Diceros bicornis minor: one gene and its partners. The main gene of each other region encodes a partner of the protein of the gene in region 2 in a complex. Links are inferred from orthologs where the notes say so. Each region holds a gene or a part of one and is shown on either strand. Other genes may lie near its edges.

The links. Proteins that work in one complex are often made in the same cells at the same time.
Region 1: RBM15 (region 2) and WTAP share a complex: the UniProt entries of both Homo sapiens proteins name them as parts of the WMM complex. The link is inferred for Diceros bicornis minor from reciprocal best matches to the Homo sapiens genes RBM15 and WTAP.
Region 3: RBM15 (region 2) and METTL3 share a complex: the UniProt entries of both Homo sapiens proteins name them as parts of the WMM complex. The link is inferred for Diceros bicornis minor from reciprocal best matches to the Homo sapiens genes RBM15 and METTL3.

Annotation. Positions count from the first base shown.
Region 1 is NC_080778.1:10,090,495-10,094,242, forward strand, and holds the start of WTAP (pre-mRNA-splicing regulator WTAP), read right to left. Parts: upstream 2,751-3,748; 5' UTR 2,607-2,750; intron 2,431-2,606; exon of another isoform or gene 2,319-2,430; intron 1-2,318. UniProt on the Homo sapiens protein: Associated component of the WMM complex, a complex that mediates N6-methyladenosine (m6A) methylation of RNAs, a modification that plays a role in the efficiency of mRNA splicing and RNA processing.
Region 2 is NC_080743.1:43,366,318-43,370,065, reverse strand, and holds the start of RBM15 (RNA-binding protein 15), read right to left. Parts: upstream 2,882-3,748; 5' UTR 2,301-2,881; coding exon 1-2,300. UniProt on the Homo sapiens protein: RNA-binding protein that acts as a key regulator of N6-methyladenosine (m6A) methylation of RNAs, thereby regulating different processes, such as hematopoietic cell homeostasis, alternative splicing of mRNAs and X chromosome inactivation mediated by Xist RNA.
Region 3 is NC_080744.1:27,857,850-27,861,597, reverse strand, and holds the start of METTL3 (N6-adenosine-methyltransferase catalytic subunit), read right to left. Parts: upstream 2,580-3,748; 5' UTR 2,448-2,579; coding exon 2,348-2,447; intron 1-2,347. UniProt on the Homo sapiens protein: The METTL3-METTL14 heterodimer forms a N6-methyltransferase complex that methylates adenosine residues at the N(6) position of some RNAs and regulates various processes such as the circadian clock, differentiation of embryonic and hematopoietic stem cells, cortical neurogenesis, response to DNA damage, differentiation of T-cells and primary miRNA processing.

The DNA of each region.
Region 1 (3,748 bases), on a different chromosome or scaffold from region 2:
TAATTCAGAGATAATATAGCTCTCAAGTTTAGAACATCAGAACCATCATCTACTCTTGATGCCTTAACAATGAGAAACAGTTTATGATGGAGAATTCAGTTTTGGTTGGCTGGGTGCCTAGCACCCCAGATCCCAATACGCCCCTGGCTCTTAGCATTATGATCCTAAGAGGGGCAAGCACCAGCGAACACAACTTCAGTAAGAAAGCACGTACCTCGCCGAAACCAATCATAACTGAACACAAAAAGCTAATAATCTGACACTATGGTAGAAACGGTACCAGTTGGGAATTGGAAGACTACCTTTCCTGACTCTTGTACATCAGTCACGCGGTCTTAAGTCATTTAACTCTGGGCTGCAGTCTCCCAGTCAGCCAAAAGAGGATACCAATTTTGCCTGCCTCACACAGTGCAGTAAATCTCAATGCTTTAAGTGCCATAAAAATGCTATACAAACAAAGGACTTTTCAAATAAAATACTAACATCAACATAAAAGATAATTTTAACGTGCATTTAGGAAAGATTAAATTCCACCCAACATTTTCAAGGAAGAATATTTATTTATGGCACGGAGTTCTAGTCCGATGCATCTTAATACACAATAGCATATACTGTTACTGAAAAGCTTTTCGCTGATAAGCTTAGTAATAGAAAATATTTAGAGGCAGAAAAAGTTGGAGATAATTTGCAAAATAAAAACAAGAATAAAATGAAATACTACCTAGGTCTTGTTTGGCTACAGGTCCTGCCAATAGAAAATTTTTAAGAGCAAGAAAAAAATTTTTTTCAAGAGCCAGATAATATACAGTTCCATGAAAATGATCAAAACAGCTAAGTAAAGAATATTTTCAAGGGGATTCTATACTACAAACATACAAGACTGTAAGGGACTTTGAAAGCTGTAATGTACTGTACAAATATAATTATCACAACTCTCATCTCTACATGACAGGGCTGCTACAGATTTTCTACATCATATATACCAAGTCATTTCTAACAAATAATACACAAAAATATTTTGAGCAAGCTTGACTCAAAATTTAATCAGGAAATCTAGGTATTATGAAGTTCTATAAATTAGTGCCTGGCACACACTTTTATTATTACTTTCGTCCGTTGGGACTTAGAAATTTGGGTAGTTTGCCTAAGTTCCACCAATGAGAAGTGAAAATACCGATCACTTAGCTATAGCTATCTGCTAAGACAATGTAAGACCTAAAAAAAAACGTCTAGAAATACACTCAGCCAAACCCTTAAAATTTAACCTCATCCTCCTTATCACAAGCCACCTCGTGGACTGCAATTTCTTTCCCCAATTTGCCTAAGCACATGCTACTGAATAACGAGTAAATAAATAAAATTTAGCCATCTTGAAAAGATTTTCACACATGGTTTTTTCTGACGGGGTTTTAAACGTCTACAATATATTTATCTATTACAGAAAACTTAATTGTCAAAGTTTAAAAATCATAAAACGGGTAGAACTTGTGGTGATAAGACCTGTGACTTCCATTTACCTTCCTCAGCAATGGAATTAGCTAAATTCTAAGAAATGAAAAACCGTCAGACGGACAACTCACGACCGTAACACGCTCATGAAAATACTTCTCTACCTCGGGCAAAAGAATCGTTTTTTTACTTTATAAGCACTGTTTTTTAAGATTTTAACATAGTCCTTTGGGATCAAATATCCAACTGACTTCATCAAAACAAGAACTTGGACTTTTCCACTGTGTGTTCCCTACTGACTCATGAAACATGGTTTTAAAAAAATCAACTAGTAACAGACTTACAGGGATGCAAGATGAGACTTTAAAATCTCACGAATATCTCGAAGTAATTGAAAAAGAAATTCTTTTTTTACGCAGAACGCATACAACCATTTAAAAATGGAAGTCTCCGGGAGAACGCAGCTGCAGTCATACCCAACTGCGCGACGTGAAATCTGGGCAACTAGCGCCGCTTCCCTTCCCTGGCTCAACTCGTCAGCACCGCCAGTCCCCGGATCCGGCCGCGGGGGTGGGAGGGGGCGACACCGACGCGGGGACAGGACGCCACCGAGGGGGCGGCCTCCCGGGCTCGCCGGCCCGCGGGAGCGCTCACCTCGCCCCCGGCGACGCAGAACGGAGGTAAGACGGGCTCGGGGCGGCGGAAGCGTCCCCGCAAGAGGGCAGGCGGCGCGGCTAACAGGGGGCCAGGGGGCCGGGGGCCCGGGAGCCCCGAGCCGCCCTCGGCGCTCTGTCCACCCCTTCCCGAGCCGGGGCGGCCGCACCTCAGCCCTTGGGACCCGGAGGTCCTCGCGGCCGCTCCACACCTACCTCTCCGGACGGAGGCCGCGCCGGCGCCCCTCAGTCACATAGGCCGAGGCCGCGCTGCCCCTGCCGCCCAGGCCGCCCGACCGCGCTCCGCCGGCCCCCGCGCGCCTCCTCCCGCCGCAGCCCCGACAATCCCCTTTATTTGCGGGTCTCGCTGCCACAAAATGGCGCTCAGGGAGGAAGCGAGGCCCCGCCGCCCCACCCCCTTCCCGCTCCTCCCGCCGCCACGCCCCGCCCCACCCGCCCGCCGTCCGCGTCTCCGCCCCGCCATGTTCGCTCCGGCCCACTCACCGACGAGTCGCCTCCCAGAAGCGGCCGCACTACCCGGCCACCGCAGGGCCCCGCCGCGGGGAGGAAGGCGAAAGGACCGCGCCCGGCCGGCGCCTCGAGGCGCCCAGGGAGGAGCTACGTCTTGGTGGCACGCCCCGCGGCCTCCGGGGCGCCGCAAGCTCGGCAGGGCGGGGAGGGAAGCGGGCCGCCGGGAAGGCTGGGCCGCGAGGTCGGAGGTCAGCTGCGGGGCATCACGGGAAGGGCGGCGGGGGTCGCGATTGGCGGCGCGGAGGGGAAGCGCTCGCCGGGCCACCTGCGGCTGCGGCGCGGCCTCTGGCGGAGGAATCTGGGCGAAGGTGGCGTGTGATTGGCCTCTGCGGTGCAGCGTCCGTCTGTGATGCCTCCGCGCGCCGGTGGGCCAGGTGCAACCCCGGGAGCGGGGCCGTGGGCGGGGACTGGGTCGGTTTAGGCTTCGGTCAGCTTCCCTGTTTAAATTTTCATCTCTTAGAAACCAATGCTCCCTCTTCCGTCGTGAAGTGCAGCCTCCTGGCCGCTTGGTTCGTCCCTGCCTTGACATCTCGAGGCGAAACCGAGGAGCTATTGTCTGGCAGATGGAGGTTGTGCTAGGGGCACCTTGCTAACTCGGAAGCGAGGCGAAGGCGAACCCTGGGAGGTTTTAATGAACCCATTAAAATAAGTTTTGTAATTTGAATATACTGCCCTACACAAGACTTTGTGTCATCCAGACCATTGCATAAGAACGATGGAGTTACCTGGTAAACGTATAACAGCCTCTTTGCACTTGCTACACGGGTCAGGTAATTCTTTTGATTGGCCTGCCTTTATCCGGCTTTACCCAAACTGTTTATCCCCAAAGGAGGTGTCCCGGAATGAGATGATTTATGAGGATAAGATTAAAGTATGCTCCAGATGGTCAGAGGGATCATGGTGTATTCCCAGGAAATCAGATCAGTATGAAGAAAATATTTGCAGCTTACATCACAGGAACTCGTAAAAACTGAAAAGAAAAAGACCCAAATCCGAAGAGAAAAATGGGCAAGGACATGAAGAGACAATTCACAGAAAAGAATAGCAGTGGTCCTTAAAGGTAAAAGGCTGTTCATCCTCCTTACTATGGAAATGCCCATTGAAATTACAAGGCT
Region 2 (3,748 bases):
GGAGACTTCAGCTTCGATGAAGCAGTGCTGGTGCTTGCTGCACTCCCATCAGACCGGTCTTCTTTTTTCAGAGGGCTTTTTCCTTCAGTGGGAGCAGTCGTCCGGTGCTTCCTATCCCGTTCAGCTGATGCTGAGTTTTTACGGTCTCGCTTGTCACCTTGGCTTTTCTCCAAACTACCTCGTCTGTCTCTGATTGGAGAGGCCCTTTCCAAGAGAAGACGGGAAGATCGATCATTGTCACTGTTGTAGCGATCCCGGCTACTGCTCAATTCTGGACTGCGGTCAGGAGAAGGAGCACAGTGACGTTTTCGTGGACGGTCGCTCTCAGGGGACCTATCCAGATGCCGCCCCCCACTCTCCTCAGGCAGCCTTCGCTTCCTAGGCTGGTCTCTGCTGCTGGGTAGATCTCGCTCACCTCTGTCCCGGTCCAAGGACCAGCCATCCCGCCTGCGATCCAGGCTGTCCAGTGGCTCATAAGCAGGCACAGCAGTGGCTGCAGTCCGAGTGCTGCGTTCACGGACTGGGGGTGGGGGTGGCACCCAATCAGAATCAGGATAAAGGTCTCTATCACGATCTCTGTATAGTAAGGGTGGTGTCCTATCCCGAGCACCCCTCAAAGGGTCAGGTGCCCGATGTCCAAAAGCATCTGTTACCAGTTCATAATGAGTTAACGGCAGAGGCTGCAGATACTGCTGCTGGTAACGATGTTCTGTGTCTGCAAAGTCTACTCTAAGGCGGCGATCTGGGCCACCGAGTGGGAAGCCCCGCATATGGGTCCAGGCAGCATGAGCTGCATCCAGGCTTTCATATTGGATATATGCCCAACTATCACCTTTGCGGTAGTCTATGGTGCGGATGGTGCCAAATCGGTCAAACTCTCGTGCCAGGGCAGCAAGAGGCACCCAAGGTCCCAGGCCACCCACCCAGAGGCGGGTGGTGGGTGTAGCTTTACCATAACCAATTTTGATAGGATTCCGAATTATAATTTTGCCAGACATTGCTAGTTTGGCCCGATGAGACATGTCTAGGTTCTCAAATTTGAGAAAGCCATAGGTACTGGTCTGGCCCCGAGAAGGCCTTTTGATGTCTACTTCTGTGATGACTCCAAAGCGGTCAAAAGCCCTTCTTAGATCACTCTCTGTCACAGTGATGTCTAGGTTGCCCAAGAAAAGCGTCCGGTTAGCTCGCTGATCATCCTCGGGTGAGATCTCATCCACTTCTCTGAAAGGAGCAGCACCTGCTCCAGCTCCCACCCTCGGCTCAAGACTGTATGCAGGACGCACTCTCTCATAGAACGGGTAGTCTCGCTCCCGCTCTAGCTCTCGGGGCAATGGTGGCGGAGGTGGAGGGGGCAGGCGGCCAAGAGCCAACTGCTGCAACCGGTAGTCTCTGTATCCCAAGGCTGCGCCACCAGGTGAAAGTGATCTCTGGCCTCCACCACCTCCTCCAGGGGGGTGCCGGTGACCACCTACAGAGGCCCCGACCACGCTGGCTGACGGAGGATAAGCATCTTTGTCTAAAGGGGAGCGGCTGCGGCGCCGGCTCACATACACCGCTTCTATCTTCAGGGGCCGGTCATAGAGCACCAGGCGGCCTCTGGCATGCTTGGCCGCCCGCGCGTCCTCTGGCCGCCGGAAGTTCACAAAGGCTACTCGCTCATCCCCGCTGCTAGAACCCGAGAGATGACTGATTTTGACACTTACATCACCGAAGCGTTTGAACTCGTGAAACAGTCCGTCCTCCACTGCTTCGTCACTCAGCTGGGACCCCAACTCGCTTATCTTCAGCGTCTTGTATTCCCCGCCGTCCCCGCCGCCGGGAGCTGAGGAGGCGGCCCCAGAGGAACGTGACTCCCCGCCTCCACCCCGGGAGCTGCTGCGCGACTCGCCCCCGCCCGAGGAATTTTTGGTGCTTGGGGAGCTGTAACTGTGCAAGCGGCTACTGGAGCTGCCCCCACCAGTGTCATACTCGCGGCTGCCCCCTCGGCTGCTGGACTTGTCCAGATGAAGGCTGCGCCGCGACCCACCGCCGCTGTCGGTCTTTCCGCTGCTGCTCCCATTGCTGCCACCAGAGCCCCCTAACTTCTTGCTCCGCTCCCCGCGGGAAGTCGAGTCCTCGCCACCACGCGAGCGTTTGGGCTTGACTGGGGAGCGCTCCTTCCCCTTCATTGTTGCGGGCCGTCGGAGGTCGTCTCCGCGGAGCAGATGAACCCGCCGCCCCGCGCTCGTTTCACACAGCGGAACCGCACGCCGCCATCTTGGACTCCGCCGCGGCAAAGGCTCCCGCCCCGTCGTCCTCATTGGTCAATTAGCACTTCTCCTCTACAGTCTCATTGGGAAAACTGTTTGTCTGTCTTCACATCTCCCCGCGCTCGGGGAAGGCGCCCGCCCGTCCACTGTTATTGGGTTCCCAACGCCCTAGTCAGAGTACCTCATTGGTCCTACTCGTTGTCCATCTTAACGGTTCCTCGCGCCAGGCTGTAGCTCCGCCCCTTGCACTCTATGGTCACTTGACCCAAAGTCTGGAGGCGTTGATTGGACAAAAAGTCTGCCCTGTAACGGTACTTCTTGCGCGGTGAAAGCAGTGATCCCACTTCCTCATCCCTTTCATTGGTTTGTGACCCCGTCTTTTAACTGACTATTTGGGAAGTCCGGCCATCTGTTCTGGCGTTTTTTTCTGAAAGGCCGGCTTACAATGATCTCGCGAGAGAGAGAGCGCTCCCTCTTTCGACCCCCTTCTTCCAACTCCTCCGGCGGCTGACAGAAGTTTAAATCTGATTGGATATCGATGAGGACGTTGATAGGCTGAAATAACTGTCTATCACTAGCTTAAAGGGGTAGGTCCATATACTGAGGAGGCTGAAGGTGAAAGGGTAGAACACGCGCTTGCTGTGTGACGTCACTTAGACGTCGCGAGACGGTGATCACGAGTCTGTTCCGCCTGCTCGGGCTGTCGGCGTTCTCTTCTCAAACATTTGTTCGGTCCCGCGGCGTACTTGGCTGTGCTTCGGCCGTCGGAGTTCGAAACTGGGCTCCCCACTTCCTACCTGTGCAGGACAAGGGGCTGGCTGGGCAGGGCCTCCGGCTGTCGGGGCCCGGGAATCCCTCAGGCAGCCGTCCCAGGGCATCCGGCACACACCGTGTTAGTCCACCTCGCCCCAGTGTGAACAGCCTGAAAAAGCCCCACCCGCTCCTGCGCGCGAGGGCGCCGCCTGCGGTCCCTGGGGCGACGGGCAGGCCTGGCCGCGAGTTCACAGTTCACACCAACGCCCCGGGGCGGCGCAGAGGCTGGGCGCGGGCTCGGGGTCCCGCGGGTAGGAAGCCACGCAGCGCTCGCTCCGGAGCCCAGGTCTCTGGCGCTCCCGGTTCCCGCCCAAGTACCCCGGGTAACCGAGGGGAGTGACCGACTTTCCCAGGTTCTCCCAGCCCGCGAGAGTGGCCGGGACGGGCGGGCCACCGCGGAAGTGTCTGGACTTCCTGATCTATGTTGCGAATTCAAGTGGATTTTGGATTTTGTCGTCCCATAGTATACCTGTGTGTTTATTTATACGTAATGCCGCTCCCAGTTAAATGATCGAGTGACATTTACGCTCCATGCATTTTTTTTTCTGTGGCTTCTTGTCCTTGCCGGCACCTCCGGTTATATTCTGTATTAGAAGCCAGTGGCACAGCCGCCTTGCTGTCTCTCTAAATCCACTTCTTTTGGCTCCCTCAATCATTCTCGCTTCAAAAACCCAACTTTCGTTCTT
Region 3 (3,748 bases), on a different chromosome or scaffold from region 2:
TGTAGTAAATTGGTGAGTTTCTAGTTATAAATGAATGGAACCATTAGCCCCTCTTCTTTTCTGCTGATTGAGCAACTCATCCGGATAGCCCACATCCCACTGTTGTTTACCTGATGACCACCTGGAGGACCTCTACAACACAGTCCACAGAACAGATGTCTCTGACTTCTCTCAAATATTATCCAAGTAAAATCTGATTTCCTACAATGTATTTATTCAATGCAAATCAGCTCATATGCAATTAATAAATAAGGGAATGTCAGAATAACATGGAAAACTTGCTGGTTCATACATGATTTTTTCTCATCATGTTAATGTTCTGAAGTGGTCAGGGGCAAATTTTCTCACAGTTAAAGAAAAAACTTCAAAAACACATGAATACCTTAAGGAAAAAAGGTGAGAATCCTACAGAAATGCCTTTTAAAAAATAGAAGTGTCTGGTTTAGTGGCTTCAAGAAGTGCTACACTTTGCACTATGTTAACCTATCTGGGAAGCTACAAGTTCAGATGAATAAACTGCAAAGGCATTTCCCTTGGTTAAACAAAAACAAGACTGCTGGATGGAAGCAGGAAGTAGGAGCCCCAGGGTATATAGGCTGTGGGGATGGAATGACTTTCATTATAGGTAGAAACACCAGTGGAGATTTAACTATGCTAGCATTTTTAGTAGAATATTGTAAGGGCTCTAGTAACAAAGTTACAGAGGTTTTGAACAGGCTTCTTCTAAAGCTATTTCTTCTATAAGCCCTGCTATTTTTAATGCAGGCTTTTGCAGAAGCAATTTTTCAGGAACACACATATATAGGGAGAAATGACTCAATCATTTCTTCCAGAATGCTGTATTTGAAAAAGTTGATGAGGTACTTAAGCCCAGTAACAGAAGTCTGTGATAAATCAAGAAGCAACTGGGTCATTTGTCTATGACAGAGACGTAACTGTGTTATATTTTCTGTCTAAAACTGATTTGCATAAAATAAAAGTCTTAGAAACAGAGGAAACCAAAGAATAAGAAAAAACCAGAAAATTGAATCTACAACAAGACATCAAAGGAACTGAAGTTTATATTATCAAGAAAAAAATTCTCCCTCTTGGGTAATTCAGTAACTACTCCAATGCTTGACTGCTAATTAATCCCTGATCATACGACTTGCACTTCTTCCTCTACTCACCCTGCCCTCTTAACTTCTCTGTAATTATCTAAGTCCTATACAGCCCTGAAGACCAAATTCCAAGTGCCAACTCCTCCCCGATGCCTTCACTGACTAAACCAACTCTTGCTACCTCTCCCTTCACTGAACTCATTGTGGACTCATTCATTTGGCATTTTACATATATCATATTGTATTTCTAACTTTTTTTAAGTATTAATCCTTTATCCTCAACTAAATTTCAAACTCCTCGAGGGCAGGGACAATATCTTACTTATTTTTGTCTAACTGGAACTCATGCACACTGTAGATACTCAATAGATGTTTATTTATTATGGTGTCAGAGTCCTGCCAGGGCATCTTCTAGTTCCAGGGGCCACAATATGAGCACACGGGCCTCATATGTATTAACACAAGATTTAGAGATGGACTCGAGTATACTACTAAACATTGGAACAAGCTACCACAAGGGTGGTTTGGATTCACTATCCTTGCAGATCTTTATAGTTGATTTGCCTTAAATAATTCAGGGCTTGTACTGGCGACAGGGGGTGGGCAGGAGTTGACAATCTTTTGAGGTTCCTTCAAGTTTTGACTGTGACATAGCGGGCAACGGGAGGGGAGAAAAAGTTTAAAAGCAAAAAACAAATATTTTCAGATTCCTGCTCGGTATGTAAATACCTAAAGACAATGCCAGTTCCTCTACTCATTTAGCAACACCGAGGGCCACTGACCTGGGCGCTGTGGATATAAAGGTTCAGTCCTTGCTCTCACGGTGTCCATAGTCGCAAAGAAATGACCAGTACAAAGTAGTAGCTATAACCGAGGGAAGAACAAAGCGCCATGGGAGCAACAAAAAGGGGACCTGCTGCTTCGAGGGGTAGGTAGCTGAGAGGTCTTAGTAAAGGCGACGATCTGGTAGACTTAGGAGTCAGTAAGGAGGACGGGGGTGGGGCCGGGGCGCCCGTCCCGGGAAAGAGAACTGGGCGTACCACGTCCCGAGGTGGGAAGGAACCGCGACTACTTGCCGGAGGGCGCGGCGTCTGTGCTGCTGAGGGGGAGGAGAAGAGCACCAACGCACGGGGTGTTACAGAAAAGGCCGCTTGGGGAACGGCACCGACTCAGGAGCTGTCTTTTTCTCCAGGGTTCCCTCCCGCCCTCCCCGGGTAAGCATCGGCCCCGACAGCCCCGCGCCTCACCCAAGTGCCCCGAGTCCTGCTTCCGCCTCCGCTGCAGCCTCTCTCGCAGCGAATCCAGCTGCTTTTTGTGGGCCTGGATAGAGCTCCACGTGTCCGACATCCTAGTCTCCAGACCCAGACACGTCTCGAATCAAGCGCGGCGAACTAGCACCTCCCAGTCCCAGCTCCAGGAAATACCCAATTCTCACGCGGACACCCAAGGCTAACCGGAAAGAAATCCCGGGAGATGCGCTAGATGGAAAGGTCATTTCCGGCTTCGCACTCTCTTTGAAGCTCAAAAGAGAGCCGCCTTAGGTGTTGGCAGAATGGCGGATGTATTTTTTATTGGAACTCTCGCGTGCTTCCGGGTGCGGTGAGGCTGTGGTTGCCATGTTGGTGCCTGGCAGAGCGGCCATGTTGCTTGTAGACGCGCATGCGGCCATGTTATAAATACAAGAGGGGAGTCCTGTGAGTTGAGCTGGGTTGTGAACGTACACGTAGAGCAGCACGTGTCGTACAGATTTTTGAAACGAAGGATCACTCATTCCTTTTGACAGTTTGATACTAATATACTTTTTCCACTGAAGATGTTGTAGGTTTATGTTTCCATGCATTCATTTACAAAGATATAGCTATTACATTGGTTTCCAGTCTATGGGTGTGTGCGTTTGTATCTGTGCTTCTTTGAGAGAGAACGAGGAATGATGGAGCAGAGATATTATAAGGGGTCTACAACTACATATTCTCACTCTTCTTACTTACACCAAATCTACAAGTATGATATGTAATACATTAAAATAAAGTCCTCATAAGGAGGCACTAGAGGGGTTTCTGAGGTTGTGGTTCCATTGCGTTTCTTACTCTGGGAGCTGGATGCATGAGTATGTTGTTTATGAAAATTAATTGAGCCAAACATTTTGGTATGTGCACTTCTCTGTATGTGTAATAAACTTTTAAATACAAAAGTTTTTCGTTTTTTATTTTTTTAAATGGGGTTCTCTGAATGGAAGTATTTGGGAACCATTGATTTATCAAATGGCTACATGATGCCAAACACTGTGTCAGAAAGAATAGCTTGAAAAGGCATGGCTCTGGTTTTCAGAGCATTTCTCTTCTGGTAAAGAAACTAAGACCCAGCTTATTAATATCAAACCATCTTTACAGCATAAGGCAGCGTGAGCATAGGCTTTAACAAATAAATGTCACTGCAAAGAGGAGGAGGACTCCAAGCCAAGATGACCACGGAAGGCATTGGAAAGAAGGTGGCATCAAGGTTCAGGCTTGAAGTGACAGCTATAGCTTCACTGAAGCTATAGGAGAGAATTCCAGGCCAATGACATGATAAAAGCAAAGGTCTATGCTAGAGTTAGGAAAGCAAGTTGTATGTCCTGCTAATCCAGGTTAGTTTGCTAGAACATAGAG